Linked DNA regions of Pelodiscus sinensis. The protein of the gene in region 1 interacts with the protein of each later gene in a biochemical or structural test. Links are inferred from orthologs where the notes say so. Each region holds a gene or a part of one and is shown on either strand. Other genes may lie near its edges. The genes, in order: UBE2D1, RNF114, LRSAM1 and RNF216.

Region 1 (7,043 bases):
GAGGTCCATTTGGAATTTTTGAGTAAAGTTCCATAATTAAGAAGACAGGGAAAAAATGCAACTTAAGTACCCAATATGTTTGGTGGGAGCATGATAAGGTTTAAGGCAGTGGTCACCAACCTTTCTACACCCAAGATAACTTTTTAAATGTCAGGACAAGCCAAGATCTACCCCGTCCCTTCCCCAAACCCCTCCCCTTTCCTTGAGGCCCAGCCCTCTCTGTTCCCCTTCTCTCCATCACTTGCTATCCATGACCCTTTTACACTCCCAGGTTACGGCTACACTGTCGCTTTTTTTCGGCAGTAAAAAAAAGAAAGAAGAAATTTTTCCAACATTTGACCTATCTAGACTGGGCCAAATGTCGGAAAACCCCCTTCTTTTGGAAACCCCCTCATTCTTTGTGGAACGAGGAATACAGGGGCTGCCAAAAGAGCGTGTTTTCCGGAAAAACTCCTGCAGTCTAGCCATACCCTCACTGTGTTGAGACAGGAAGTGCAGGTTCTAGGGTGTGCATGAGGGATTTAGGTATGGGAAAGAGTGAGAGGTGCAAGCTTTGGGACGGAATTTGGATGCAGGAGGATGTGGAGAAGGGGATGTTGGCTCAGAAAGGGGGCTCCAGGCTGGGGAGTGCTGGCTCAGGTGGAGAGTTGGGGTGCTGAGCAAGCCACAAGCTTGTGGATGTGAGGGTGCAGGAGTTAGGGTTGAGGACTCAGGGCAGAGAGGCTAGGAGTATGATGGGCTCAGGACACAGATTTGCAGTGTGTGTATGGTGCAAGAGTGTTGTGGCAGAAGATTGAGGATGTGGAGGTGCAGGAGTTTGGGAATGTGAGGCGCTCAGGACAGGAGGTTCCAGTGTATGATAGGCTCAGATTTGGAGTCGGGTGGGGGGTACAGGAGTGTTATGATGCTGTGGCCAAATGAGGACTTGGCCCCAACTGGGGGCTTGTTGGCCAGGCTTCATTTTTAAATAAAATATTATGTCAAACACAAAAGGTTTCAGCATTGTCTTTATTTATGAGAAGGGTGGGTAACCTGTTTTGAGTCAGGGGTCACTGGCCCACAGAAAAGTCAGTCAGGACCATACAATGAGATACAAAAACACAACCCCTCCAAACCCCTCAAACCTCACTAATGTGGCCCCAACTGTATTTGTGGGTACCGGGACAGCGTTCTGGGGCAGGGTGCTTGTGGGTGCTGGGACAGGGTGCCAGGGCAGGATGTTAATGGGTGCTGGGGCAGGGGACAGGGTTCCAGTGGGTTCTGGGGCAGGATGCCAATGGGTGCTGGGGTAGAGGACAGGGTGCTTGTGGGTGCTGGGACAGGGTTCTGGGGAAGGGTACCAATGGGTACTGGTGCAGGGGACAGGGTGCTTGTGGGTGCTGGGGCAGGGTATTCGTGCGGGTCTGGGTGAGAAGGAGGGGACAGGGACCGATACCTGAGGATCCTGCAGCTGCATGCCAAGGCCCAGAAAGTGCGCAGGTTGTTCCCCCATCTCCCAAACAGCGGTGCGGTACCTGACACGCTGGTCCATTGCACACCTGATGACTTTCTTCATGGGGAGAGGGGGAGTCCCAGACTGCGCCAGCCCCAACTCCTTGGGCAGCACACACCTTGCTCCCCTGCTCTGCACAGCAGCGCACACCGCCTGAGCAGCCGGAGCCAGCGCAGTCCTGGATTCCCACCCCCTCCCCCATGCGCAGGAAGGCACCAGGGGAACAAAGTCCCCAGCGCACGATGGACTTGTATTTTAGGTACCACGTCGGCTGTTGGGGCAGTGGGGAGAGCAGCACTTCCAGGACCTGGTGCGCAACTGAAGAACTGCCCCCCAACCCCGCAGGAAGCCCGCGCTACCTCCATGGTCCCTGGAAGTAGCATCAGTGTGGCCTGCATCTTGGGGGTAGGGTGATAGCGAGGGGGGACCCCAAAGCCTCGCGATCAACAGGTCAAGCCTCCGGGATCAACCAGTTGATTGCGATTGACGGGTTGGTGACCATGGGTTTAAGGTTATATGCCCTTTGCATCCTTTCACATATCTATTTATGGTGGAGAAATGATCATGGAGTAGAGGTATCTCTACTTTTGAATTTACCCCTTGCTTTAATCCCAGGCAGAGGTAGTTAAGATGATGCATTTCTATGCCCTGCTCCGTTATGAAGGAGATGGTGGGCTGGGGCACTTGACTACTAGACTAGATCCTGGGGCTCTCCTGTAGGCTGCCACACTAAGCAGCAGTCAGCTAGGCAGATTAAAGGGACTGGCTTATGTCTCCTCCGACCCCCGCAATACCCCTGCACATACATACCTCACCTGTCCTGAGCCCCTTCTTACACCCACAACCCTGACTCCTTCACCCACCACAACCACAACCCCCTGCTCTGAGCCCTTCCTCAACCACCCCCAACCTTGTAAACCAGAGGTTGGCAACCTCCTCCTTAGCCAAATATTGCTCAGTAGGGAGCCACATAAGGCTCTTTTGCTGCTGGAGCTCAGCCCCTCCTCCTCACAGCAGAGAGTTCACGCTGGCAACTCCAACCTCATGTTCCCCCCTCCCCACCGCAAGACTGAATCTCCAGTGCCATCTTCCTGCAGGAGGAGGGGGAAAGAAAGCCCGAAGCCTCCCTGCCAGATCAAGCTCGTGGGGAAGAAGCAGAGCCAGAAGCAGCTGCGTGCATTGCGCTTTCCTTTCCCTGGCTGCGGGAACATCAGAGCATGGACATGCTTCCTGGAGGCTTTCCCCGCTGCTCCCATTGGCTGGAATCTGGCCAATGGAAGCAGCAGGAGGCTTTGTCTGAGTCTCCTATATCAGAAACTCTGCCCTGAGCTCTCTGCACTCCACCTCTACACTTACATTTCATTCAGATACCATTGTATCGCAACCTCCTAGCTTGATCACACCCCTCCCCAAGGGAATGCCACATGACAGTACCTGTAAGAAATATTAAGTTACTTTCATTAACCTCTGATCTCAGGCTGAAGGGCAGGGCTACTCAACATGTGGCCTGCAGTGCGGTTTGGGTTTACACAGGGCTCATCACGCAGCCCATGGGTGGGATCCTTTGAACATGGCATCCACTGGGAACATGCTCCACAATGGCAAGTCAATAAATGGTCTTCTGTTGATATGCATTTTAGTAGTTAAATTCCTAGACTGTCATTGCTCATTAAGGGTATGTCTACATTGCAAGCTTATTTCAGAAAAAAGCTATTATAGAAAATATCTTCCAGAATAGCTTATTTTGAAATAAAGTGTCCATACTACAGGGAAGCCTCCAAATTAGGCCAAGGCAGGCAGGCTCCCCTAATGTGGATGCGCTGTCTCAGTTTAGAGCCCCAGAAGGCACTGGGGAGGAAAAACTTAGAATGGCCCTGGTGAGGAGTTATTTCGACATAGCAGCACTGAAGCATCCACATAAACCCTCTTCTGAAAGAGCTTTTTTGGAAGATGCCTTATTCCTCATGGAATGAGGTTTGCCAACGTCAGAAAAAGCCTTCCTTTATTTTGATTTTCTTTCAAAATAACCCAGTTGATGTGTGGATGTTAGTATTGTTTTTCTGGAATAACAGCTGTTATTCCAGAATAACAGTGCAGTGTAGATGTACCCTAAAAGTGCTGTCATATGGGTGGAAATCGAGTAAATATTGCATTTTATTAATATCAGCAGAACTGACTTAAATGGGCCTGTGTGTTCTGTAATCTTGCCTTAGTCTTTGTATTGATGCCTGTCAGTGTGAAAGAAACTATTTGCATATATTTGAATATGCATGCAACCACACTGAAGTTGTGGCCCTCAGCATGTAGCTTGAGGGGCTTCCAACGTTGTCCCTGTGGCCTCCAAAGTTGAGTAGCCCTGCTGTAGCGTCTTGCAGCAGCCAGCAATTGCCACTTCTGCCTTCGGGCAGTCAGCTGGCTCCCTAGGCCTGCTGGCTCCGCGGCCTGACTGCAGGGGGCGCTGCGCCTCCTCCCGCCCGGGACTGCATTTCCCAGCATGCAGCGGGCTCCGGGCTCTGTCTATAAGTAAAAGCGGAAACAAAAGAGCCAGCGAGTGAGAGCCAAGCGGATCCGGCCTCGGCCCCTGACGCCCTGCGAGAGCCCGGCCCCCGCCCGGAGCGACTGCGCGCACCCAGCCGGGGAGCAGCCGCCCGCCGCCGCCTCGCAGAGCCCCGAGCCGGAGCGTGTCTCCGCCATGGCGCTGAAGCGGATACAGAAAGTAAGAGCGGCCGCGCCGGGCCCTGCCGGGGGAGCCGGGCCTGGGGTCCCCGGGGGGAGCGCGGCCGGGGGAGGCCGCTGAGGAAGGAGCTGTGCGGCCGGGGGGCTCGGGAGCGGCCGGGGGAGAGGAGACGTGCAGGCAGAGGGGCGCTGGGGGAAGGGAGGCCCCACTAGAAGGGAAGCTGATGGCAGGGGAGAGGGGGATTGCAGGGGAAGAGAGGCTCAATGGGCAGCGAGAACTTTGTGGTGCCGGTGTCGGAGGGTAGAGCAGTGGGTGTGAAATCTTGGCTGTGTTTCTCCTCCTCGGAGTAATGAGGTTCTCGTGTCTTTGCTCATACCAATGGGGATATTGATGGTTTGTTGCTTCTGGGAGACTGTTCTTTGTTCCTCTTACCCCGTGGAAAAGGAGTGCCAGTCTGTGGGTTGGAGGAGGATTGCCTGTAGAACCCTGTCGGAATGGTGCTGTGCAGCTGCATAACAGTCTGGATAAAGTATAACCTTGTGCATACACTAACCTTCACAAGGCCCAAGTGAGGTGGGCAGAGTTGCAGTTACCTTACAGTGGGAGAAACTGAGGCACCAAGAGGAGGCTTGCCTATACTAGGGATGTTAAAAAGAAGGTAATTGGATAAACATTTAACAGCTGAAAATCTCAGCAGTTACTGCAGTTGCAAGTAACCGTGTATGGGGCATGCACTGGCTCTTGCCTGCCACTCAGCTCCTTGGGGAGCCAGCTACCACCTTGTATTGCTGCCTCTGATACTGACATCTGCCTTCAGTACTACACAGTATTCCTCTTGTATTGGCTAGCGACTAGAAAGTATAACCATGTAAACAGTTAACCAATAAGCCTGGACTCATTGGTTAATATTCACGGTTACATGTGGGTTCCCATCCCACTCCTGGGGAGTCAGGTGGTTCCTTGGGAGGTGGTGTGCACTGGGAGTAGGCTTTTAAGAGGCAGCAGCTGGCTCTCTGGGGTTGTATCTAGACTAAATAGCTCCGTTGATGAAGCCATGTGAAGTAGTTTACTCGATATAGTCAATGAAGCAGGGATTTAAATAATCCCCGCGTCATTAAAATAAAAATGGCCACCACGCTGTGCTGACAATCAGCTGATCCGGCACAACATGGCAGTCTAGACATGGCGCGGTGGACAAGGGAAGCCTTTGTTGATTGCTCTGGTATGCCTCGTTTCACTTTATCACCGCGCGGTGGCCATTTTTATTTTAATGAAATGGGGATTGTTTAAATCCCTGCTTCATTGACTATTGAGTAAACTACTTTACATGGCTTTGTCGATGGAGCTATGTAGTCTAGACACACCCTGGGAGTGGGGCTGTGGATGGGATCCAGCAGCTGCCTCTGCACTGCTGCCTCTTAAAAGCCGACTCGCAAGAAAGCAGTTGGCTCCCCAGGAGCAGGATGGGAACCTGCATGTAACAGCGACAGAGTCCTGTAGCGCTTTAAAGACTAATAGATGTATTGGAGCATAAGCTTTTGTGGGCAAAGACCCACTTTGTTATGTAACAGTGAATGTTAACCAATGAGCCCAGGTTTATCAGTTAACCATTTACACGGTTATATTTTCACATCCTAGGCTATATAAGGGAAATACTGTGTGATACTGACAGCAAGTGTCAACAATAGAAATAAAACTAGACTGATGCTGAATGTAGTTGAGTTGATATGTAATCAAAGAAAAACTGTGTTCAATGCCACTTCCAAAACTGCATTAATTCTGGTCTGGCCAGTTATTGGTAGGTTCCATAGCAGATCAGTGGAGGAGCTGAGATTAGAATTTGAGAGTTCATGTTTCTCAACACTTAACCGCCAGAAGATCATGTTGCTTCTCAACGGGATCAGTGTTTTGTGTTAATGTCAGAGAGACTTTGGTTTAATTCATCTTGTTCCCCTGATTGCTAACAATTGCTCTCCTAAATCTGTTTGCTTTTCTATCGCATTGGGTCTGCTCAGTAAAGCAGATTGTATTTTACTTTAGTTGATCATTTCCTCCCTAATGTTGCATACTTTGTCCAAGGGCTGGTAGTCGAAGTAAGGGCCTATCTTATGTAGCTTGTGTCCAGGTTACAGTTATGACAGTAGCACAGTTTACCGTGCATTGCTTTGTTGTGTAGCATTGTAGTGTAGATGCTTCTTAGAGCAATGGAAGGGTTTTTTTCCATCAATGTAAGATCTCCAACTCTCTTGAGTGACAGAATTTTTCACACCTGTGAGCACTACAGTTATATTGACCTAACTTTTAAGCATAGACCAGAACTTTGATTGTCTTGCCCCCAAAGATTTTACAGTCTTTTTTGATTATGCTCCTTTGTACAGTGCCTTTCACAATGGGGTCCTGGTCCATGACTGAGACTCCTAGGCAATTTGATAATACAAATTATAATAATGAATAATACACCATTTACATGCCACCTTAGGTCTGAAACTGTTGCAATGGAAATGCATCTGCTACTAACACAGATGTTCCTAATTATCAGCTAGGGTGGGGATATGAGAGTTTAACTGATAAGCATCAGTGTGTCAATTCCTGTTAACAGTTGAATTCTGGGAGGGATCTGCAAGGCCAGCGGCCCATAGCCTGGGAGTCTTCCCTCCCTATCCTTACATTCCTAGATAACCCATTTAACCGTGTAATCAATAGACTTCTGATTGGTTACATGTTTACTAATTTTATACATTTTTACATCTCAAATTCAGGGTATCTTGTTGTGATCTTCCTGCAGAGCATGTTTCTCTCTGGCAACTTTATCACTTGAAAGGTACAACCTGGACATCTGATAGGAATTCTGTACCTAGAAAAGATGGGTTAAGG
Region 2 (7,625 bases), on another chromosome or scaffold:
AGCTCCCATTGTCCACAGATTACTGTTCCCAACCAATGGGAGCTGCAGGAAGCAGTGTCCTAGTCTGCACCACTTCCTGCCACTCCCACTGGCTGGGAACGGCCATCCGCGGGCAGCAGGAGGTGCGATTGCCGGTATCTGTGGAGGCGCAGGTAGATATAGCAGCAGCAGCCTGCCAAGGGCTAACCCTGGCAACCACCACTGTTTTATTGCTCACACCTCCTTTAAGGCTAGGAAGGACCATCATGATCATTTAATCTGACCTCCATCATGCTGCAGGCCTCAGAATCTCACCCACCCACTCCTGTAATCGATCCCAACCTCTGACTGGGTTACTGAAGTCCTCAAATCATGATTTAAAGACTTCAAGTTACAGAGAGTTTACAGTACATTAGTTTAAACTTGCAAGTGATCTGTGCCCTGTGCTGTAGAGAAAGAGAAAAAACCCATCATCTTTGCTACTCTGACCTGGGGGGAAATTCCTTCCTGACCCAAAATATGGCAGTCTTGTTAGATCCTTAGCCTATAGGCAACACCCACCAGCCAGACACATGGGAAAGAATTATCTGTAGTAACTCAAAATCCTCCTTATCTCGTGTCTCATCACAGGCCATTGGAGATATTTCCTGCAGTTGCAGATCAGCTACATGCCATTGTAGACCGTCTCATTGTACCATCCCCTCTCCCCATAAACATCAAGCTCAGTCTTGAAGCCAGTTAGGTTTTTTTGCTCCCCTTGAAGGCTTTTCCAGAACTTTACTCCTCTGAAAAGTCCTCCTTAACACAAAAGAGTTACTGTACCGGATCAGACAATCTGTTTCTTAAAAACTTGATCCTGTATCTCTCAGCTGAAATGCTGCATATGGAAGTGTAATGAGTACTCAGGGGAACCCAGTTCTGCACTAAGGATAGTGATTCTGCATGGCTGACAAGTAACTTCCTAATAGCAAAATTAAAGCTCAAAGGTCATTTGACAAAATATTTCATGAGAGTGGTAAAGATGCTATTTGAGATCTTCAGATGTGCTCATTCTTCCCCAGCATTGCTTCTTTTTACCCTGCACTGTGGCAATGGGGTAGACATGCAAGCGGCTTGATGCTTATTACTTGCTCATTCCACAGGGCTACACTTGGGGCTTGATTCAAAGCCCATTCCAGTCAATGGGTGTCTTTTCATTGGCAGCCCGCCTTTCCTTCATGGCCCGCCTTTCCAGAGACCATCTGTACACGCTCATGCTCCACACACTGCATTTCCTCACCCTCGTGTCCCGCTCCGATACCAAATGGCAGGATTATTTAAGATCAGTTGAAGGTAAGGAATCCCGACGGACCAGTGTTTATTCCACCTTAATCCCACATCCCATTGAGGACATCAGCTGGCAGCTCCTCCATGGAGCCATGAGCATGGGTGCATACCTGGCACAGTTCACCCCCGTCCCAGACGCCTGCCCCTTCTGCGGCGTGAGGGGAAACCTGGTGCATGAATATCTGGAATGCACCAGGTTGCAGCCCCTTTTCCAGCTCTTCCAGAACCTATTGCTGAGGGTCTGGCTGCACTTTTCCCCTCACCTTTTTATTTATGCGCACCCCATCCATGGCCCCACAAAGTCACAAGACCTCCTTGCCAACCTCCTCTGGCTCTGGCAAAAGCCGCAATATATAATACCAGGGGGAGAATGCTGGATGAGGGGGTGCTCTGCAACTGTGGGGCCTACTTCCGTTCCACCCTTGTGTCACATATCTAGGCAGAGTTCCTCTAGGCAGTGTCCGCTGGCTCCATAAACAGCTTTGAGGAGCAGTGTCCCCATCCGGTTCCCTCATTTTAAACCTTTGACCCGCACCACTTGACCCTGTTTTTCATCATTTGTCCCTCGTATTTAGTTGAGCCCTGGGCCCAGTTGTCCCTCCTGCAAGGCTGGGGGAGGGGCTTTTAGAAGTGGGTGGGCTGGCACCCGCCTACCCCGTTGGGTTCAAATAGTGACTTCACTGGGCTTACAGTCTGGCTCTCAGAGCTTAGTACTTGCACCCACACATAGCTGCTGCTCACACTTAACTGCAGTGCAGCAGCCTTATGTTCCCTTTTGTGCAGTGAAAAAGGATTTACAGGATGAAATTGTAACTCATAAGGTGATAGACAAATAATGCCCAATGCCTGCCATTTCAGAGGAAGATGAAACTCACCAATAACACAACTTAGTCAGTATATGACATGACAGGGTGTGTCCTGCACTGAAGAATTTAAACTATGAAGCATAAGACTCAGCATTCCTATTTTAGCATTGCTATATATTTCTGTCCGTATTTTCTAGCTTGTATTAAAGTCAAGATTCTGTTTCAGTCTTTGATCTCCTCCTGCTGCAGTTGGCTGTCCACGGGAGAAAGCATTGTTTTAAATTTACATCCCCAGTGTATTGTCATCTGTTTACCTCCCTATATTACAGGATGATGGTATGAAGAGATGGGGCTGAACTCCTTTCACTGAACCAGTCATATTGTGAACTATTTAAACTAAAGCCCCTTCTTCTGCACCGTTTCCCTCCACTTAATATAGCAACCCCGATACAATTAAAGACTATATGTGCAACCCCAGTTTCTAACCATCTCCAGTGTCTATCTCTTGTGTGTCATTTACACATTTCTAGTACAGGCTGTTTCAGCAGAGATGTGTTCTCATAATAATTATAATAATTTTACATGTATATAGTACCTCAGTCCTAATTATTAATTAGTATTATTAATCATATATATGACAGTAATATTTAAAGATCAATCAATAATGGGGCAAGGCACTGTATAAATACAGTGTAATGAATGGTCCCTGGCAGTGTGGAATTTACAATGGAAATAGATCAGACAGACACAGGATGGGAGAAGGGGTAGACCACACAAGTTGGTTGAAAAATATGAGGGCAACAAACACTTAAGGGCCACCTTTTTTGGAGAGTGTGGAGTGCGGATGGAAAGGAAAGTGCAGAGCGACAGGGCCGGGGAGAAGATGGTAAGAGGGTAGGGTTGCCAGGTGTTTAGTTTTGAATCAGACAGTCCAGTATTTGAGCTTTCTGTTCAGGAAACAAATTGAGAAAATATAAATGTCCAGTATTTTCTAAATAAGATGTAATGTAGATTGTGATGTAACGTCAAGTGTGTCTGGTATTTTTGTTGAAACCATCTGGCAACCCTATAAGGGGGCAGGGGCGGTGTAAAGCAGAGGTGAACAGACTGTGAGGGAGAGGATTACAGCAAGGAGACAATCTCCACAAGGCAGAGAAAGGCCACTCAAAACAAAGAAGTTAAATGTCTAAGGTCTCTGCTTTGGCTGCTGGCTAGAGTCTACATGGCTCCATCCTCTCTGCAGTTACTTTTCCACCAAAGGTCACATGGGAGGGAAGGCACCACTTAAGTCCTAGTGCTGCCATAGTAAGTAGGGACGTACCAAATTCACAGCCATGAAAAATGTATCATGAACAGTGAAATCTGGTCTCCTGCTGTGAAATTTGGTCTTTTGTCTGCTTTTACCCTCTACTATAAAGTTTTCACCAGGGAGAGCAGTGTTTCTCAATTGGGAGTTCTGACTCAAAAGGGAGTTGTGGGAGAGAAGTTGTATGGTTATTTTACCAGGGTTGTGGTATTTTCACCCTTACTTCTGTGCTGCCTTCAGAGCACCTCACTCTGAAAGCAGCACCCCGCCAGCAGCAGCACAGAAGTAAGGGTGGCAGTTCATACCATGCCATCCTTGCACTGCCACCCTCAGAGCTGGACAAGCTGGAGAGTAGCAACTACTGAGGGCTTCAGTTCTGCAGGCAGTGTTGCAGAACCAAGGGTGGCAACACCATTTTGTGACATCCTTACTCCTGCACTGCTGCTGATGGTGGCTCTGCTTTTTCAGAGCTGGGCTCTTAGCACTGTAGCTGCCATGCTAACGGCAGCGCCACTGCCAACAGCAGTGCACAAGTAAACGTAGTAGCACCGCAACTTTGTGATCTCCCCCCAACTCCTTTATGAGCCAAGACCTCTACAATTACAACACCACGAAATTTCAGATTTAAATTGCTGAAATCATGAAAATTGCAATTTTTAACATCTCGGACCATGGGGCTGAACAAAATGGACAGTGAATTTATAATCAACACTGCATGAGCTGTACACACATTGCATTATTGAAGGTGGAAGGTGTAGCCAAAGGCACATATCACTCCATATATGGCAGAGGCAAGGAGGGAGCAAATTTTAGCAACTCCATCAGTGGCTGGTTGCATCTATGCCATGTTGTAGCCCTTTTCTCTCCTGCCTGGCCATGCACTTGCCTGCCTGTGCCCATGCACGGTGACTTCCCTGCCCAAATGTTCCTTAGCTGAGTCACTTCCCGCCCAGTTTTGTCCCCTGGCCACTCCACTTGCCCACTATATCCTGAGTGGCTCTGGCTCTGCTCAGGCTCCTCCCTGCCTATTTCCTTACCGAGCTCTCGCCCCACCCACCTGCCCTGCGCAGTACGGCCCCTGGCCAGCTGTGGGTGGAGCTGAAGAAACTCGATCCGTCCTGGGGCGTGTCCGAGCCGCGAGGGGGCGTGGCCAGAAGCCGTTGCTGTCTTGCGCGTGCGGATTAGGCCGCCGCCCTGTGGCCCACTCGGAGTGGGCGTGGCGGAGAACTAGCCCCTTTGGGCCGCCGTCGCGGCGCCCGGGCTGCTTTGCGGAAGTGCGGGGCGAGCGGCCGGTGGAAGATGGCGGGGGTAGAGAGCGGCTCCCGGTACCCGGCGCTCCAGGACCCGCTGTCTCGCTTCACCTGCCCCGTCTGCTTGGAGGTGTTCGAGAGCCCGATGCGGGCCCCCTGCGGCCATGTGTGAGCGGACCCCTCGGGGAGGGCCGAGCGCGGGACGGGAGGGTTCCGTGATATCGGGGCTGGGGCGGATCCCTGAGGCGGGGGGGGCCCCTCTGAGCGCGCGAGAGGGCGGGGGGCACGACTGGTGGGGCCTAGGCGCGGGCACTTGGAGGCGCCAGGACGGAGTTGTCACTAGTGCACGGTTCCCGTGTGGGCCCCCGCCACACACCCCCCCCCCCCCCAGCCTGGGGAGCGGGCCTGAGCCCTTGCGAAGAAATGGGTCTGCTGATGCTGTAGGATTCCCGAGAAACGCTCCCCCGCTACCTGTTAATCCTCCTCCTGGAGCCCGTTAGCCCCATTGGGGCTCAAAGCCACAGGCCATTTCGTTGCGGGGGGAGCTTTTCCTGAGCAAGCCCTGAAAGATTGGGCCCTAGAGGGATCACTTTTGAGCACCTGGTAGAAAATCCGACTGTTCAAATGGATAGCAGTGAGTGCCGGGATTTCCCATGGCTAGAAAAGGGTGGAGTCCCAGCCGGTCGATTCTGGGAAACTGTACCAGAGAGGGAATAGAAAGCGAACCAATTTAATTGACGGCAGCATGTGCTGGTGAAGGAGAAGTGTGGAATGGGCTAAGGAAGAAGCTTGGCCTTTTTTATTTTCAGGTATATGGGCTCATCTGCAGTGCAGTGGTGTGAGTGTTATGGAAACACTAGATAAAATGTGGGTGATTTGAGCTGTGGATAGAAGGGCTGAGAGTGGGACACCGACAAGATGGGTGGGGTAGACAGCTTTCTTACAAAATGAGCTCTCTGTTTGGCTGTGACTAAAGTGAAACTTAAGTACAGTTCTGTCTCTGCTGGGACAAGATGCCCTCCTTTCCTGTAAAATTCACAGGAGAGGCTTCTAAGAGGAAATAAGCCCTAAGGTTAGACCTGCCTTATGTTAATCACACTGCTTTCCTTTTCTACAGTACAATGTTGCTGTCGCAATAGTCCATTAAAATGGTCTAGTTAATGTTTTCTAACATGACATTTTTCTCAGGTGAAATGTACCATTGAAAGAGCAATGTACATCGCCTTCAAGTTCTTGGGTGGAGGGGGGGCCTAAAGAAAAGGGTTTTGCAGAGCAAGCTAAGGCCCCCTTCTTTCTCTTTATGCATCTAGGGAGAATAGTTGGGTGACTTTTACAGGTTATATTTCAGATTACTAAAAATGAAAAATGAAAAGAATATTTTTTCAGTTTGTTTATTTTGTGTGTTTGACAGCACTTTGGTTAGCTTCTCTATGTAATCATTGGGTTTTGCTGTTTGTGTGGATTTTTCTATTGGAAACAGTGAAGAGAAACTTTGAAAAGAGGAAATGTAGCATAAACCACAAATTGGTAAGAGCATTCGGGGACAGGGACATGACTTGAAACTGTTTTTAAATTGACTAGATTTACAGTGACTTGGCTGTCCTTTAGTATAACACACGTATCAACAGATTATTTGTCAGTGGGTGTTGTCACTTGGGACTTTTTTCTTTTAGAGTAGGTCTCTATTTTAATGGGAACAATACACGTATATTCTACAACATGCATTTTTACAAATCGTATTTCTCCCATATTAGCTTTTGCACTCCATGCCTGCAGGAATGTCTGAAGCCTATTAAGCCAGTCTGTGGAGTCTGCCGCAGTTCCCTCTCTCCTGGCAGTAGAGATTTGGACCTGGAAAAGCAAATTGAAATGACAGAAACCACTTGTGATGGCTGCAATAAAAAAGTATGAAAGAACAAAAAAGGAAGTACATATATAGTTAAAATAGGCAAACAGCTTACATGGAAATGCACTATTTTGCACATCAGCTTTCTAGGGAATAAACAATCAGAACTTTAGTTTTGATAAATAATTTGCACGGACTGCATATAGGGCAGGGGTGGGCAATATGCGGCCTGCAGGCTGGATCTGGAGTGCCAAACCACCAGACTTGGCCCTCAGCTGCCTCGCTGGGACCCTTAGGCACAGAGCAGCTCATGCCACTTTAAATGGCTGGCTGCTCTGGACACTGGTGAGGAAGGATAGAGGCTTCTCCTGCTAGTCCATCACCCAGCAAAATCTCTCAACTGCCTTTGGCCAGTTTTCGGCCAACAGAAGCTGAGAAATTTTGCTGGGAGCAGGGGCAACATGTGAACCCTCCCCATGCTGGAGTAGAGCCACATGGAGCATCCAGGTGTTTTGACCAGCTTGGGACAGCAGCAGACAGCCTGCCTCCAGTTTCTGCAGGGCTGCTGTTTGGGAGCCACCTAGGTAAGAGCCTCTCAGCCAGAATCTGCCTCTGGCATCCCATCCCCTCTTTTTCCCCCACAACTACCTGTCCTAGGCCACCACTTCCTCCTGCCATAGGGTCACCAGCTTAACCCTCTATAGCCCCCTCTCCCCAACTGTCCAGGTCACAACTCCCTCCCAGGCCATTGTACCCCCTCTTAAACCCTTTCCCCAGGCCAGAATCCTCTCCTGCACCCATACCCCCTCTCAGACCATGCATCCAAGCTTCTGCCCCATATCATAACCCTGTCTCACACCTCAACCTCCTACCCCAAACTCCCTTCTGCATCCAAATTCTGACTCAGACTCCACATTTCCTTCTATAATAAAAGCGCAGCCTTTGATCACTTACCAAATTCTTGGAGTTCGCACTTCCCACCCCATTAAAAATTATTGCCCCCACATGATATAGGGTAATGATACCCTTTCCCCTGTTGCTGCTGTTTTTTCATTAATAGGTAGATTTCAGGTACAAATACACAGTTCACATGAAGCTGATGATGCAGTAGG
Region 3 (6,931 bases), on another chromosome or scaffold:
TCAGGTACCCACCCCCCAAAGAGCTGTGGAATACAGGGTTGCAACGCGTAACTGAATAGTTTTCTCTCAGAAGAGCTGAGCGTGGAACTGGGTGTGACTGACACTGTGCTGTGTGAACACGGCAGACACTGAGGGAGCATCACAGCACCAGACATTAAGATATATAATATGAAAAACACAGTAATGACACGACATTTATGAACAATGTGGCAGCTTTCATTTCCTTGGAATAACCTCAAAATGGAGCAGTCCAGCAATCACAACGAAACAAGGAGCAGACAGCACCAGAAGCAGAACGAGAGAATTAGGAATATAGTGCCAATCCAAATCTGGCCGTCTTAATGGAAGATAAGTCTTTGTGGAGTGTTTTGTTTTTTAATTGGTGCTCTTTTAACATACTCTAGTGCTCCCAAGCTTTGAAGCTGGTGATTTTCAGCCAGGAGATAGCACATTGCTGACCCAAAGGCTTTTTGGTTTCTGCGTGAAAATCCACCCAAACATGGCTGAGTTACAAGCCTTTGAGAAAAATCCCAATTCACACAGGGCTGAGCACGCTCCAACGTCTCACAACTTTCACCTGTCACTGTGAACAGATTGCCCTTAAAGCCTCCTCACAAAGCAACTGACCAATTCAGGGCTAGAGGGGAAAAGCCGGACTTTATCTGCAGCTCCTGCTCCAGATGAGGGTGGAACGTAGCACTGGAATTGAGAGCCAGGAGCCTGTGTCTCCTGTGTTCCTAAAGACCCCCTTGCTCCTCCGGCTGGCACCCAGGCCGTGTGAAGGAGGAAGATGCCTGATCCAAACACAGAAGGGACAAAAGCTGGGCCCCAGTGGTGGGAAAGGAGTCAACTGGGTGAAGGAGTCAGGGAGACTGAGACTGGGTGGGGAATAGATTGTGACAGGAAGTTAGGGTGAGCCTAGAACTGGCTGAGCAAGGAGCTCAATTGAGTCAGGCAAGGAGGGGAGGCTAGGACTGGTTGGGCAGGGAGGCAGGCACTGGGACTGGGAGGGGCGGCTGGAACTGGGTGCACAAGGAGCCTGGCTGGAGGTGCCAGGGGATGGAGAGGAAAATGGAACCAAGAGTCAGTGAAGAAAACAGAGGGTGGGAAATCTGGAAGCCAGTTCATCTGGCGGGTGGAACTGAGATCAAACGAGGACCACTAACTGTGGTAACCTACCATTTAAATCAACTTTTGTACCAGATGACTGGAGGCAGGGATGTTAATGGTTTACTGGTAAACATCTCCCTTGCTGGGTGATGTCCCCAGTTAACCTGTGGCCTGCCTGGACTGCAGCAGAGCCCTGCCCGACAGGGCACACTGCACTGTGGGTAAGGGATGCTCCAGCCCAACCAGGATAGCCCCCACCTACGGCAGGCCCAGCCTGGATGGAGTAGCATGCCACGGATGAGAGCGCTCCAGCCAGGATGGAGCAAACCCGGCCCACATGGGGCCCCAGCCCGGCCAGAGCAGCAGCGCTGCTTCGCAGGTGGGGGACATTCCAGCCAGGCTGAAGCAGCCCCCCCCCCCCCCCCCCCCACATCAGACATCATCTGATTAAACAGGATTTTACATCCTGAACTGGACGATAGCTAATGTGACACCAATTTTTTAAAAAAAGGTTCAGGGGCAATCCCTGCAATTCAGTACCAGCAAACCGGTTGAAACTAAAGTAAGGAACAGAATGATCAGACACCTGTATGAACAGAATCGGTTGGGGGAGTGTATTCAATAACTGGTTAAAGACAGGGAACAAAGAGCAGAATTAGGGATGTAAAAGTGTCGTCGATTAACTGATAAGCAAAAGCGTATAGGTTAATGCTATGGACTCCATGCATTCCCCCACCCCGCCACCTGCCATCAGTACATTTTTTAGCAGGCTGGCCAGCAGTCCAGCTTAGTTCTAGCTCATGCCAGGACTGGGACCCACCCCCGCCGCGGTTCTGCATTTATATTAGGAGCCAGGCAGGCAGGCACGGTCCAGGAGTTCAGCCCTACCCCAGACAGGTGCTGCTGCCACTCTGCTGCCTCTGTATCAGAGACAGCAGCATGGGGCGACAGGCAGCCAGGCAGCGAGGGGCCAGTCCCTCTTGGACCAGCCCCAGCCTGGCACCGGAGCTGCTGCCTGTGATCGAGGCAGCAGCGTGGAGTGGCGGGGGGCTCCCTGGCGGGGGGGCTTCTTGACGGGGGGGGCTCCCTGGCGGGGGGCTCTTTGGCGGGGGGGCTCCCTGGCGGGGGGGGCTCCTCGGCGGGGGGGCTCCCTGGCGGGGGGGCTCTGGCTGCCGCCCCACCCCTGGGGACTCGACTGTCCCGTTCACCGACTGTCGCGAGCCCGGAGCGCTACCGGCCCGTTTCACACGAGGGCCCCGGGGCCGCGCTGGGCGCTGCCGGCACGTTCGGGGCGAGCCGGGACAGGGAGCGACGGGCCCGGGCCGGGGGGGGGCCTGGCCAGGACACTCCCCGCGCGCCGGGGCCACGGCTGCTCCCCCGCGGCTGGCAGCGCCTCCCGGGGCCGGGGGGGGGCGTTCGGGGGGGAGGGGCAGCCTGCCGGCCGGGCCTGCGGAGCCCGAGAAGACCCGGGCCGGACACGGGGGGGGGGGGCGCCCCCCTCCCCTGAGAGCCCCCGCGCGCGCCCCCGCTCACCGCTCCCCGCTGTCACCAGAGCAACTTCCGGGTCCCCCCCCCCGGCGGCGCTGTCACGTGACTACGCCGCCACAGAGACGCGCGGCCAGAGCGTCCCACTCGCCGGGGGGATGGGCCCGAGCTCCGACAGCGACCGCCAGGGGGCTGCGATCGTGTCACCCCCCGTGCGCGCGGGGTTCGGACTCGGAGGCAGGAACGGCACTGAGGGAAGGGAGAGACCCAGCTCCCCGCTTGGCGGCGCCTCCTGGCGGCCTTGCCCACACCTAACATGGCGGCCGGAGTCCCCCTCCCGCTCGGCCCTTGCCCACACCTAACATGGCGGCCGGAGTCCCCCTCCTGCTCGGCCCTTGCCCACACCTAACATGGCGGCCGGAGTCCCCCTCCCCCTCGGGCCCTTGCCCACACCTAACATGGCGGCCGGAGTCCCCCTCCCGCTCGGCCCTTGCCCACACCTAACATGGCGGCCGGAGTCCCCCCCCCCCTCCCACTCGGCCCTTGCCCACACCTAACATGGCGGCCGGAGTCCCCCTCCCGCTCGGCCCTTGCCCACACCTAACATGGCGGCCGGAGTCCCCCCCCCCTCCCTCTCGGGCTCTTGCCCACACCTAACATGGCGGCCGGAGTCCCCCCCCCCCCCTCGCTCGGGCCCTTGCCCACACCGAATATGGTGACAGGAGTCTCTGCCCACAGCTAACATGGCGGCCGGGGTGCGGCTTTCCTATGTCTCGCGAGATCTCGGAGTATAAGTGGCGCGGTCGGAGGGGGGCTGGTCTCTTCTGCGCGCTGCCCTGGGCCGGAGGTTCGTCGCATCCGTCTCCATCCGGCTCGGGCCCGCGCCGCCATGCCGCCCAAGTTCGATCCCAACGAGATCAAAGTCGGTGCGTTGGGGGAGGTGGGAAGAGGGGCGCGGGAGGCGTAGGGGGCCGGGGAGGGGTCGTGGGGGGGGGGGTGGGCGGGCGAAGGGGGCCGGGGAGGGGTCGTGGGGGGGGGGTGGGCGGGCGAAGGGGGCCGGGGAGGGGTCGGGGAGGGGTCGTGGGGGGCGGGGGGGGGGCTCGTGCTCCCTGCCTTGGCGCCCCCTGGGAGGGGCCACTCTGCTGCGGGTTCGGATCCTGCCGTGCGGCCCCTGATGCTGTCTCTCCCGCAGTGTTCCTGCGATGCACCGGTGGGGAGGTCGGGGCCACTTCCGCTCTGGCCCCTAAAATCGGCCCTTTGGGCTTGGTAAGTGCCGCGGGGAAAGGGGTGACTGGGTCTAGCTCTGGGGCTGGCACGTGCTTCCTGCCTGCTGCTGAAAGCTGCTCAAGGGCAATAATGGGGGTTCAGGCTCATGCCCAGCTTCAGCCACTGGCCATTTAACCAGTGAGTGTGGGTTGAACAGCACATCCCGGGAGGTGGCCCTGCTGGGGCAGGGCAGGGATGGGCTTGTGGCCCTGGTACCTGGGAGGCGTCGCTGCCTGCTCTGGGTATAAGCCAGGCTTTTCTGCTGCTCGCCTGCAGCACACGTGCAGCCGCTAAGATGTTTGGTGGTTACCATGTTACATGATTTAACATCCCTTGTCGAGGGTGATTTTTCTCCCACAGTGAGCTGGCGCCCACCTCGCCCAGCTGCATGCCTGCAGATGAGCCATGCGTTGAGGTATCCTAAGCTAGATACCTTTTTAACTACAGGAATCCACGGAGCCCACTTCCCTCTTAGCTGGCGGCTCTGTGCAGCCTTAGTGGTTAGTGTTTGGCTATTGTCAGTGGATGGAAATCGCTCCAAGGTTTGCCTCTTGTACAATGGTGGGGGGTTATCATAGCTGTGAGTTTACCATCACCTCTGACTGGGCAGAGAGCCAACTTGCAAGACACTGAATTTAGCATATTATTTGTATGACGGGCTCATGTGTGTCCAGCAGTCCCTGCTGCTTCTGCTTCTGGGCTTGTGGCTTGCTCTGCTGGGAGCATCTCTCCATGAGATTGCAGGTAAATGAGTACCTGCTCACACCACTGACCCTGGGTATAGATCATGAAATGTGCATCCTAAATCAAAGAAAAGCATGTTAGGAAAGTCACTCTGACGACGGAAAAATCAATTAAATGCTTGTTCTTGTTTTCAGTCTCCCAAAAAGGTTGGTGATGACATCGCCAAGGCAACAGGTGACTGGAAGGGGCTGAGGATTACCGTGAAACTCACGATCCAGAACAGGCAAGCTCAGGTACTCAATGCCAGAAGGGATGGCTTGGTGGTGGAAGCACCAGGTTTGGAGTACCTGGATTTGCTGGAACCACAAGTGTCAATCCCGGCAGGGTCGACTCAGCCCTTCATCCTTCCGAGGTAGATAAAATGAGTTCCATGCAGTTCTCTGTGTGGGGGTCTTCTGGACGAGACCTTAAAAACGAAGTCCCTCCTAATATCTGTAGGCTCCGGCATGCTGGGGTAGAGCCAAGGCAGGAACTGGCTCTAGCTTGCCATCCAGAGGCAAGTGCATTGCAGTGCAGTGTGACTTGGGGCGGTCCAGGCTGGAGGTGCTGTGTGATGAGTGGAGTGCCTGGAGTCAAGACCAGGCATCAGAGCACTAGTCAAGGTTAATAGAATGGAGAGGAATAAATGGGCTTATCATTCTGTGGGAGTGACAGACGCTGTACTGCCAAGGTGTCTACTGGGAACCGATGTCCGGGGTTCTTTGCCTGAGAATGCCAGGGGGCACGTGGCAAGCCGGGGAACACTGTCTCAGTAATCCTTCAGCTGCTCTGCAGTGTGGCTGTAGCCATGTGCCACCATGCCTGTCTTGTATGGCAATGACCGAGGTACTCCCATGGAGAGCTGGGATGGAGCTGTACATCTTTCCATAAAGAACAGACATGTCCCATACACACAGGAATGAGGGCTCAGGTATTTTCCAGTACGTTCGTTAATTGTGACTGTTTGCATGAGGTGCACAATGTGTTTCGTAGGCTCTGTGGGGCGACTGACTGGTTCTTCTCTCAAGGATTCTGGGTTTGCTTTCTGGCCTCAGTATCTCCTAAAGAGAACCTCTTTCCCCTCCTTCAGATTGAGGTTGTCCCTTCTGCCTCTGCCCTGATCATCAAAGCCCTCAAGGAGCCTCCTCGGGACAGGAAGAAGCAGAAGAACAGTAAGCGTCCCTCTTAACTTCACTTGGTGACTTGCTAAGTAGTGAGCCTAGCCCGGGTCTGATTGGCTGCCACTTAACCTACCTGCGTTTAGGGTACTCCTGAAAAAGGGAGTGTTTGCCAGCCTTGTAGGGCATTTGTTAGTGTCGGGAAGCCCTTCACGTTTCTAAATCTATCTCAAGAGAAAATTACTCCTGGGATGCAGGAAACCGAAATTGTCGGGTTCCTTGTACTGACACAGCTGGGTGCTTCTCAGGCGTGTGACAGTGACCCCTTGCGCACAGCAAGCCTGAGGGTGACTCCCTTTATAAATTAAAGACCTTTTTATATTAACGCTTCACCTCCAGCATTTATAGTGGGGCTTATGGTCTCCAGACGGGGTCATGACCCCCAGTTTGAGAACCACTGGATCAGCTAGCGTTTGTCTGGTCTAAAATTCAGTAAAACAGCCACCTGCCACTGTACCTGTCAAGTATGAAATGGCTGGTACAATCCAGTGGTGCGCTGATAGAAAACACCAGCTCAGGAAACAGGGTTATTCTCTCTGTGGGTAACTCTGTGCCGAAGTCTGGGGACAGAGAATAAACCAAGGAAGGAGTGCTGCTTTCTCCGCTCCCAGGGCTGAGCTGTTGAAGGGACTGGGTCAATGCTCCTCTTGAGACCTCACTGGTGTTTGCTTTTGTTCAGTTAAACACAGCGGCAGTGTCAGCTTCGATGAGATCGTGAACATTGCACGCCAGATGAGGCACAGGTCCTTGGCCCGCGAGCTCTCTGGTAAGCCTGAATTCAGACAGGCCGCGCAACCCCCCATGTGCCTGTCTACCCAGGAGCTGGCCTGCAGTGCAGCTTTGGGCTCTGCCAAAAACTTCAGCCTCTGCTGTACGTAGATTTCCTGGTGAGAAGTGGTGGATTCATGAGCAGTCAGGCAACCTGGCAGAGGCAGAACAGGACTTTTCCCCATGCTCCTGACCCTGTCTCAATGCAGCCTGTTCCTAAGGGCACTAGCTGGGCCTCTGCTGACTGATACCTGGGCATTAGCTTCCTAAAGTACAGTATAAACCAGGGTGGGCAAACTGGCCAGGCCACACCTGACCTGTCAGGACCCAGGATTACCAGTCTGCCAGCTGTGGGTCCATGCTGCTCCCAGGAATGGCTCGCCCCCCCTGCAGCCCTGAGG
Region 4 (7,080 bases), on another chromosome or scaffold:
ACTCCAAGCAAAGCATTTGATTGTGGAAATTAGCTCAACTTCCTGCCTAAAAAGTCAGGCAAAAGAAACTCTGCCACAGCCCAGTGAAATGATGTGATCAATGTTGCATGCTGTGCATTGGCTGGATGGCTAATTGCTAACAAGTAGCCATGGGGAAGGGGAAAGCAAGGGGATTGGACACATGGGGGCATATTCAGCTGTCAATCTCCATGAGGAAATCTCATTAGCAATAGTCAGAATCCCCCAAGAAGAAAAATTGGACTCCCAGTTGTGGCAGTTTCTAGTTGCAGTAGGACCAGCCTCGTTTCAGTGCAGTGGAGGTGGGGGCAGGATTTTTCAGAGTAATCCAGCGTGGTGCCCAGCCAGTGCATTGTGCAGATCAGCTGAGCAGGGTTTCCTGGACATTGCTGTGCTGGGAGCAATGGAACGCTTGGTGAATCTATCGCTACATGGAACCTTCCGCCAGTGCGCTCTTCAGAGGACAGGGTTGAGGACCTGCAGGGCTGTTGGGCAGCTCTACAAGCTGTGTTGCCCGGGCCTCCGACAGACTTGTCATGCCCTGGGGCAAGGTCGGGGGAGAAGGGGCAGTGCCACGCTCCGAGAAGGGGCCAGGTCTCAGGTGGAAGGGGTGGGGCTTCACCGTCCTCCTTCAGGCTGCCCTCAGAGCTGCCAAGAACATGCCGTGTGGCACTCCAGTGGTGATTTAAAAAGCCCAGGGCTCTGGCCATCACCACTCCTGTGGCAGCAGTGGTGGTGGCTGGGAACCTGGGCCCTTTTGAATCTCTGCTCCCCAAGGCAACTGCCCGCTTTGCCCTACAGTTTTGTGTCCTACAGCAAAAGTGTTTGCGCCTTCAGTTCTGTAGCCTTAGGATTTTGAAATAGGGTTACCAGGACTTACTGATCAGTAATAACGCTCAGAGAATTTCCATCCAAGTATCAAAGAAAGAGTTCTTCAATCCTCAGTACAATCGCCATGTTTCTTTCCATGGTTTGACAGCAGATAGGGTTCCCCTTGGCAGGCATGGATAAGCCAGTGGTCCACTGGACCCATTGTTAATGGCATGGGATATAAATTCAAGCAGGTTTCCTGATGATTTTTGCAGTGTTACATATAGTGTGTACGGCTGATCTACTCTGTCACTTTAATTTTGCATAAGCCCAGCCTCGATAATGGCTTACAATTTCCATACTCTAAAATCTTTTGGTATTTATTTATTTGGTGATAGTTTATTCCTTTCATCCAGATGAACATAGTGTGGCCAACTACCAGATTTACAGCTGCATCTAAATCAATCAGAAACTTCAGACTTGTGCCTGTCACAGTTAGTTTTAGCAGTCATGTGAACATGTTATAGCCTATCCGGTTTTCCAACCAATTTATTTGCAGCACTCACCTGAAGCCTTGTTCTTGTCGTTAATGTAGAACTGGCGCTGTGTTCCTACCATTTGTTTGTACTGCATCTTGTCCAATGGGGCCTTGCTCCCTGATTGCAGACCATGGATGCTGTGGGAATACAAATAATAAATTCCAGCCTGACATTTTATACATGTAAATGTTTCCCCCTCTTTTCATCTGATGTATCTTTAGCACTCTTTGAGTCAGTCTCTACTTGGTGAACCTTTGGAAACTGCAGTTTCTGTTGCATTGCACCTTGTATGAAATTCTGATTTGAAGCTTTGTCATTGGCTCCTTGCCTCAACATATTGACTTGACTTTCACAAGTTTTCTTTCTTTCTTTCATCCATCCATCCAGGCCACAGTGCTCAATTGTATTTACACCAAGGCTGTGTCTAGACTGGCCAGTTTTTCCGGAAAATCAGCCGCTTTTCCGGAAAAACTTGCCAGCTGTCTACACTGGCCACTTGAATTTCCGGAAAAGCACTGACTTCCTACTGTAAGAAATCAGTGCTTTTTGCGGAAATACTATGCTGCTCCCGTTCGGGCAAAAGTCCCTTTTGCGCAAAACTTTTGCGCAAAAGGGCCAGTGTAGACAGCTCAGATTTGTTTTGCGCAAAAAAGCCCCGATCGCGAAAATGGCGATCGGGGCTTTTTTGCGCAAAAAGTGCTTTTGCGGAAAAGCGTCCGTGCCAATCTAGACGCTCTTTTCCGCAAATGCTTTTAATGGAAAACTTCTCCGTTAAAAGCATTTCCGAAAAATCATGCCAGTCTAGACGTAGCCCAAGTCTTTTCTGAATCCAGAATAGTGGATTATGTTGCTTTAAGCAACTGTATTTACTTTTACTGACAGGTGAAACCAAATCTGGGACCTCTGGAATTTAGCACATGAGCCAGCTGGCATTCAGCTAAGGCTGTAAAGCACACTCATTTTCTCTCTCTCTCTCTCTCTCTGTCTCTGTCTCTGTAAGTGGTCTAAATGCCACTCCATGGGACAGTGAAGCACACCCAGTAGGTGAGTTACAACTACACATTTAAGCTCTGGAACAGAGTTATCCAGAGGTGAAAAACTTGCTCTTCTGAGGAAGTGGGTTTTGCCCAGGAAAGCTCATGAACAAGGAATCCTTACTTGATCCATTTGTGGTTCTGTTACATTCCAGGAGCCTGATTCTTTACTGCTTTGCACCTTGTATGGTCATGCAGATAGCAGGGTTTATTTCTTCCATACAGGTAAACGAGGGAAAACATTCTCTGTTCTTTTCATCTTAATTGAATCAGTTATATATATATTGGATTGAATATTAGTCATTTAGATACTATGGGTATGTGAGCTATAAAACTAGCTAAACAACTAGAAAGCTAATTCAGAATCACCTTGAGCCTGTAGAGTCAAAAGTTACCTAATAATTAAGGTTGCTTTTTTACTGTATTGTAGCAATGCCATTTGCTATTAACTTCTGTGATTAACATGTAATAATGTCTACTTTTATATAACACTTTCAGTAGATCACAAAGCTTTTTATAGTACTCAATATAATTGGTCACCTTTTATAGATAACAACTGTAGCACTGACAGGTGGAGTAGCTTGCTTAAGCTTGCCCTGGGAAGGCAATAGGACGGGACTGTAGGGAGCACAGCAGAGCCCAGAAGAGGGGGGCGGAGCTGAACTCTATTATTTTACTAGTGGATTGACCTTGTAGAAACTGACTGCTCTTTTTTTAATTTCAGTTTTATTTTCTTTGATTTTGTTACCTGACACCATCTTCAATTGTTTTAAAGCTACTGTAATTTTTCCCTATATGGTACTCTTCCAGTAAGCATGCAGTTAGATAGAAGTTTGTATTGTTTTCATGGGAGCTGATAGGATCACTTCTAGCCAGTCCAGTGTCTCAAGGGGATTAGCCCCTAATGTGATTACCACCAGTGTATGTGGTTGAAACAAAGGACTGGCGCGCACACACACAGCTGTAACCCATATTCAACTAGGAACTGAACCTCTGCTCTGTGGGGAGGAAGCTCACCCTTGTGCAAAGGGCTAGCAAGGGACCCCCTTGGGGCTGAAGTGATCATGGGCGACAGTCAGGGGTGGAAGCAGCCCGTTGCTGGATTCCTCCCACTGACCATTACTGTAGGTCAGGCAGTGGCCACCCTCCCCCCCTTGTATCTCAGGTGGATATAGCTGGGCCCTGCACTCGCCCTGTTCTGAGGGGGGCAGTTTATGGTACATCTGCAGGCCATTCAATGGCCCATGTTGGTCTCTTCACCATGTGGCCTCAGCACCAGATTGACCCTGGTGACAGGGGAGAAGTTCAGGGGAGGGGGTACCCCCTTTACAAATTACAATTTTGATGGGGCGCAGAAGGGCGGTGCAATGCTACCACCTATGCCTGGCCAGCCCAAAGCCCTGAGGCTGCCTGCCCTGCACCCTCTGGTCCTTATTACTAGTGCTCTAATCTCCCTCCCTCCATGGACCTGCCCCATCCCCGCAGAAGCTCCGCCTCTCCTCCCCCTCCCCCGCAGAAGCTCCACCCCCTTCCCCTCCCGGCAGCGGCTCCACCCCGCGCCGGAGCAGGCGGGTTCTCACCCGCGGAGCAGTAGGGGGCGCGGGAGGACCAGCCCGAGTCGTCTCTATGGTGCGCAACTGGCGACGGGCCCCTCCTGAGCGCCCTTCGCCGCTGCCCTTCCTCTCTATGGTCGGAGGGGCGGTCACGTGGCGCGGCGCGGCGCGGGCCGGAAGGAGCCTGCCTGGCCGCGGCGGCCAAATGAAGCGGGGGCCGGAGATGGCGGAGCGGCCCGGGCTGGTGAGTACCCCTCCCCCCCCCGGGCAGAGCCGCGCCCCCTAGGGCGTCCAGCCCCTCCCCCCGCGGAACCCCCGCCCCAGCCGTGGGGAGGGCGCCGGGGCTGGGCCCCAAGGGGGCGAGGCGGGGAACCCGGACTCCTGGGGTCGGTGCCCGGCCCTGCACCTGGCTCGCCCTGTGACCTTGGGCACGTCACAGCCCCGCCCCCCTCGCGCCCCTCCGGGCAGGGGCCGGGGGGCGTCGCCGTGGGGATGGGTCCTCTGGCCCGGGCGTCCCCGAAGCCGGCGCGTGGGGTGGGGGGAGGTGCTGCCTGTATAGCGCGCCTGTAACAGACGTGCCCCCCCCCCAGGGGCAGGACCTGCCCTTTCGCCTCAGAGCCCCGCGCTGTTCTGGCTGAGCCCCGGTTTGCTTCGGCGCAGCTGGTGAGCGCGGGCCGCCTGCCCCCCGTCGGGCCGCCTGCCCCGAGCTCCCAGCCCCCGTGTGTCGTTGTGTCCAGCCTCGCTCGGGCTAGGCCCTGCGGGCGTGTTGACTTGGAGAGCCGCTAGAACAGCCCCACGCCGGAGTCGGGTCCGGCCCAGCCCACAGAAGTACATGAAGTTCTGTCCTCCCCTTCTCGCCCCGCTTCCTGGGGGGGAAGGCAGGCTTCGGGCAGAGTAGGAAGCTTGAGGGATGAAAGGAGCTTCTACTGTGGAAAACACAACCTGGCTGCTCACCGAGGTTCTCATTTAAAGGGGACATGGGTTCAGATGCTAGCTCCATGCGTTGTGGAAGCGATGTGCCGGTGTGGTAAGAGCTCTGCCACTGTGGTAATCGATGATACAACGGTGAAAATGGTTGGTTTTGGCCTGTGCCTGTGGTTCTCAAACTTCATTCCACTGTGAAGCTCTTCTGACCACAGAAATCACTACATGGCTGTGTGTGTGTGTGGCTGAAGCCTAAGTCTCATCCTCACACCCTGCCTCTGTGGGATGAGGAGGAGCCTGAGCCCAACCCCCTGGGGTGGGGCAGGGGGGCAAGGGCAAAGCCCTAGTGCTTCAACCCCAGGTAGGGAGCCGTAACCTGACTGCTGTCACTCTGGGTTCCAGTTTTGGCCCCAGCGAGTCTAAGCCAGTCTTTGCAGCTCCATTAAAACAGGGTCTCAGCCCAGTTTGAGAAGCACTGTCCTATGTGAAGTTTTCTGCAGTTGCTGCCATTGGAGCTACACCTCTTGTAGACAGACTTTTGTTGGCACGGTCCAGGTTTAAAACAAAACAGTCATCTCAAGATAACATGAAGCTTTGTATTTTAAAGTCAGACCCTTCTTCAGTTAAAAGCAGTGAAAATTGGAAGTAGACTTGTATCTTATTTCCAGTGTCAATGGGGGAGAAAAAAAATTCAAAAACTGCATCTATAGTATGATATATCCAATCTAATATAGAGTATAAGCTTTTCAGGTTCAAACCTCTTATGTTGGTATTGCACTGAAGACACTGTGGGTGTTCCTGGAAAGTAGTAATATAGGTCTGCCAGCTTTACTACTGTGAGCCATCTTTCTTAAGAGTTCCATGGCAGATTTTACAAAAATGCTAATGAGAATTGGGCACTTATGTCATTTGTGCCTTTTAAAAATTTCCACCTTAATCACGGTCACGTCACTTGTATCTAGTAAATGTCTGAAAGGTTGTATGTGCTTAGATTAACTATAGACTAGCTTCAGTTTTTTTAAAAAAATCTTAAAATAGGCCTACTTAAAAAATACCTACAGTACAAAAAATAAACAGTCCATTTCCTCTTTTTCTCTGTCAAAACTGGGTGAAATTTCAACTTCTTTTTAAACTAAATGTTGTCTTACTCCTCCATCCGATAGCTTTTGGTGGTGTTTACATAAAATGAGAAGTATGCTCCAGCCACGCTCACATTCTTTATTAGAAGAAAGTGTGGAATACTTCAGGGCTACAACTTAATTTATTGGTGTCTTTCACCAGGACTCTCTTCAGTAGGTGGTGGTGATATTTCTGAATGTTTCCACTCTGATCCAAATAGCTGTGATAGTTAGCTTTTTACTCGAAAGAAACTGAATCTTCTTGCTAAAATCAAGCAATTTTGAATCTGTTTTTGTCTCTCTTCACACTTTCCCATCCTAGAATCTTGGTTCTTTAAGTGTCCTCTGTTCCAGTGGTTCCTACCCTTCCTCAGACACTGTAGCAAGTAGCAGCTTGACAGTCATAGCTCTCCGGGAGAAGATGGACTTCAGTGAATAGAGATCAATATGCTCTACCTTATGCCCATGCCTAGAAGTCTCTCTCTTGTCCCTCAATGCTGGTGGAGGAACTGGAGTCTAAATGTTTTCTTCCTTTAGTCCCCTGGAATCTTCAATAGCTGTGTGGGAACAGAATGGATATCCGCTACTCCACTGACACAAATCTTTAGCTGTTCCTCCTAGACAGTTGTATAGTGCCATATGGAGGGGGAGGGGTACTAGCTGTAGGGCATTGGTCACCAACCAGTAGATCGGAATCTACTGGTAGATCTTGGAGCCTTTGACAGGTGATCCTGACAGGTTTGGCCAGGAAGCTATCAAGTGCTAGCTCTTCATCTGCCCCTCTCAGCACTGCCCTGCTACTCCTGCCCTCTGCCTTGGAGCTGCCCCTCAGCCCTGGGAGCCTCTTGCTTGCTGTGCAGGACATGGGAAGAAGGGTTTGTGTGTGCTCATGTCAGGGTGCCCCTCCTCCCACCCTGTACCCCAGCTCCACAGAGTTGGGGGCCAGGGATGGAGAGAGTTTGCTGGCTGCTTTTGGGAGTGGTGCAGGGCCAGAGTAGGGGTAAGCCTGCCTTAGTCCCCTGCACCACCATCCAGAAGCCAATTGTGGTAAGCAGTGTCCAGCTGAAGCCTGCCTTCTGAACCC

The links.
Region 2: the proteins of UBE2D1 (region 1) and RNF114 form a complex in vitro, tested with the Homo sapiens proteins (3 studies listed by BioGRID, with this or other methods). The link is inferred for Pelodiscus sinensis from reciprocal best matches to the Homo sapiens genes UBE2D1 and RNF114.
Region 3: the proteins of UBE2D1 (region 1) and LRSAM1 form a complex in vitro, tested with the Homo sapiens proteins (2 studies listed by BioGRID, with this or other methods). The link is inferred for Pelodiscus sinensis from reciprocal best matches to the Homo sapiens genes UBE2D1 and LRSAM1.
Region 4: the proteins of UBE2D1 (region 1) and RNF216 form a complex in vitro, tested with the Homo sapiens proteins (2 studies listed by BioGRID). The link is inferred for Pelodiscus sinensis from reciprocal best matches to the Homo sapiens genes UBE2D1 and RNF216.

The regions. Positions count from the first base shown.
Region 1 is NC_134718.1:33,639,867-33,646,909, reverse strand, and holds the start of UBE2D1 (ubiquitin-conjugating enzyme E2 D1), read left to right. Parts: upstream 1-4,020; 5' UTR 4,021-4,184; coding exon 4,185-4,208; intron 4,209-7,043.
Region 2 is NC_134728.1:19,615,519-19,623,143, reverse strand, and holds the start of RNF114 (E3 ubiquitin-protein ligase RNF114), read left to right. Parts: upstream 1-4,613; 5' UTR 4,614-4,716; coding exon 4,717-4,835; intron 4,836-6,078; coding exon of another isoform or gene 6,079-6,194; intron 6,195-6,421; coding exon 6,422-6,572; intron 6,573-7,625. UniProt on the Homo sapiens protein: E3 ubiquitin-protein ligase that promotes the ubiquitination of various substrates. In turn, participates in the regulation of many biological processes including cell cycle, apoptosis, osteoclastogenesis as well as innate or adaptive immunity.
Region 3 is NC_134732.1:1,225,412-1,232,342, reverse strand, and holds the start of LRSAM1 (E3 ubiquitin-protein ligase LRSAM1), read right to left. Parts: upstream 3,023-6,931; 5' UTR 2,644-3,022; intron 1-2,643. Other genes in the region: RPL12 (large ribosomal subunit protein uL11), read left to right, coding at 3,485-3,521, 3,788-3,861, 4,740-4,838, 5,675-5,756, 6,442-6,528.
Region 4 is NC_134726.1:31,672,505-31,679,584, reverse strand, and holds the start of RNF216 (E3 ubiquitin-protein ligase RNF216), read left to right. Parts: upstream 1-4,063; 5' UTR 4,064-4,198; intron 4,199-7,080.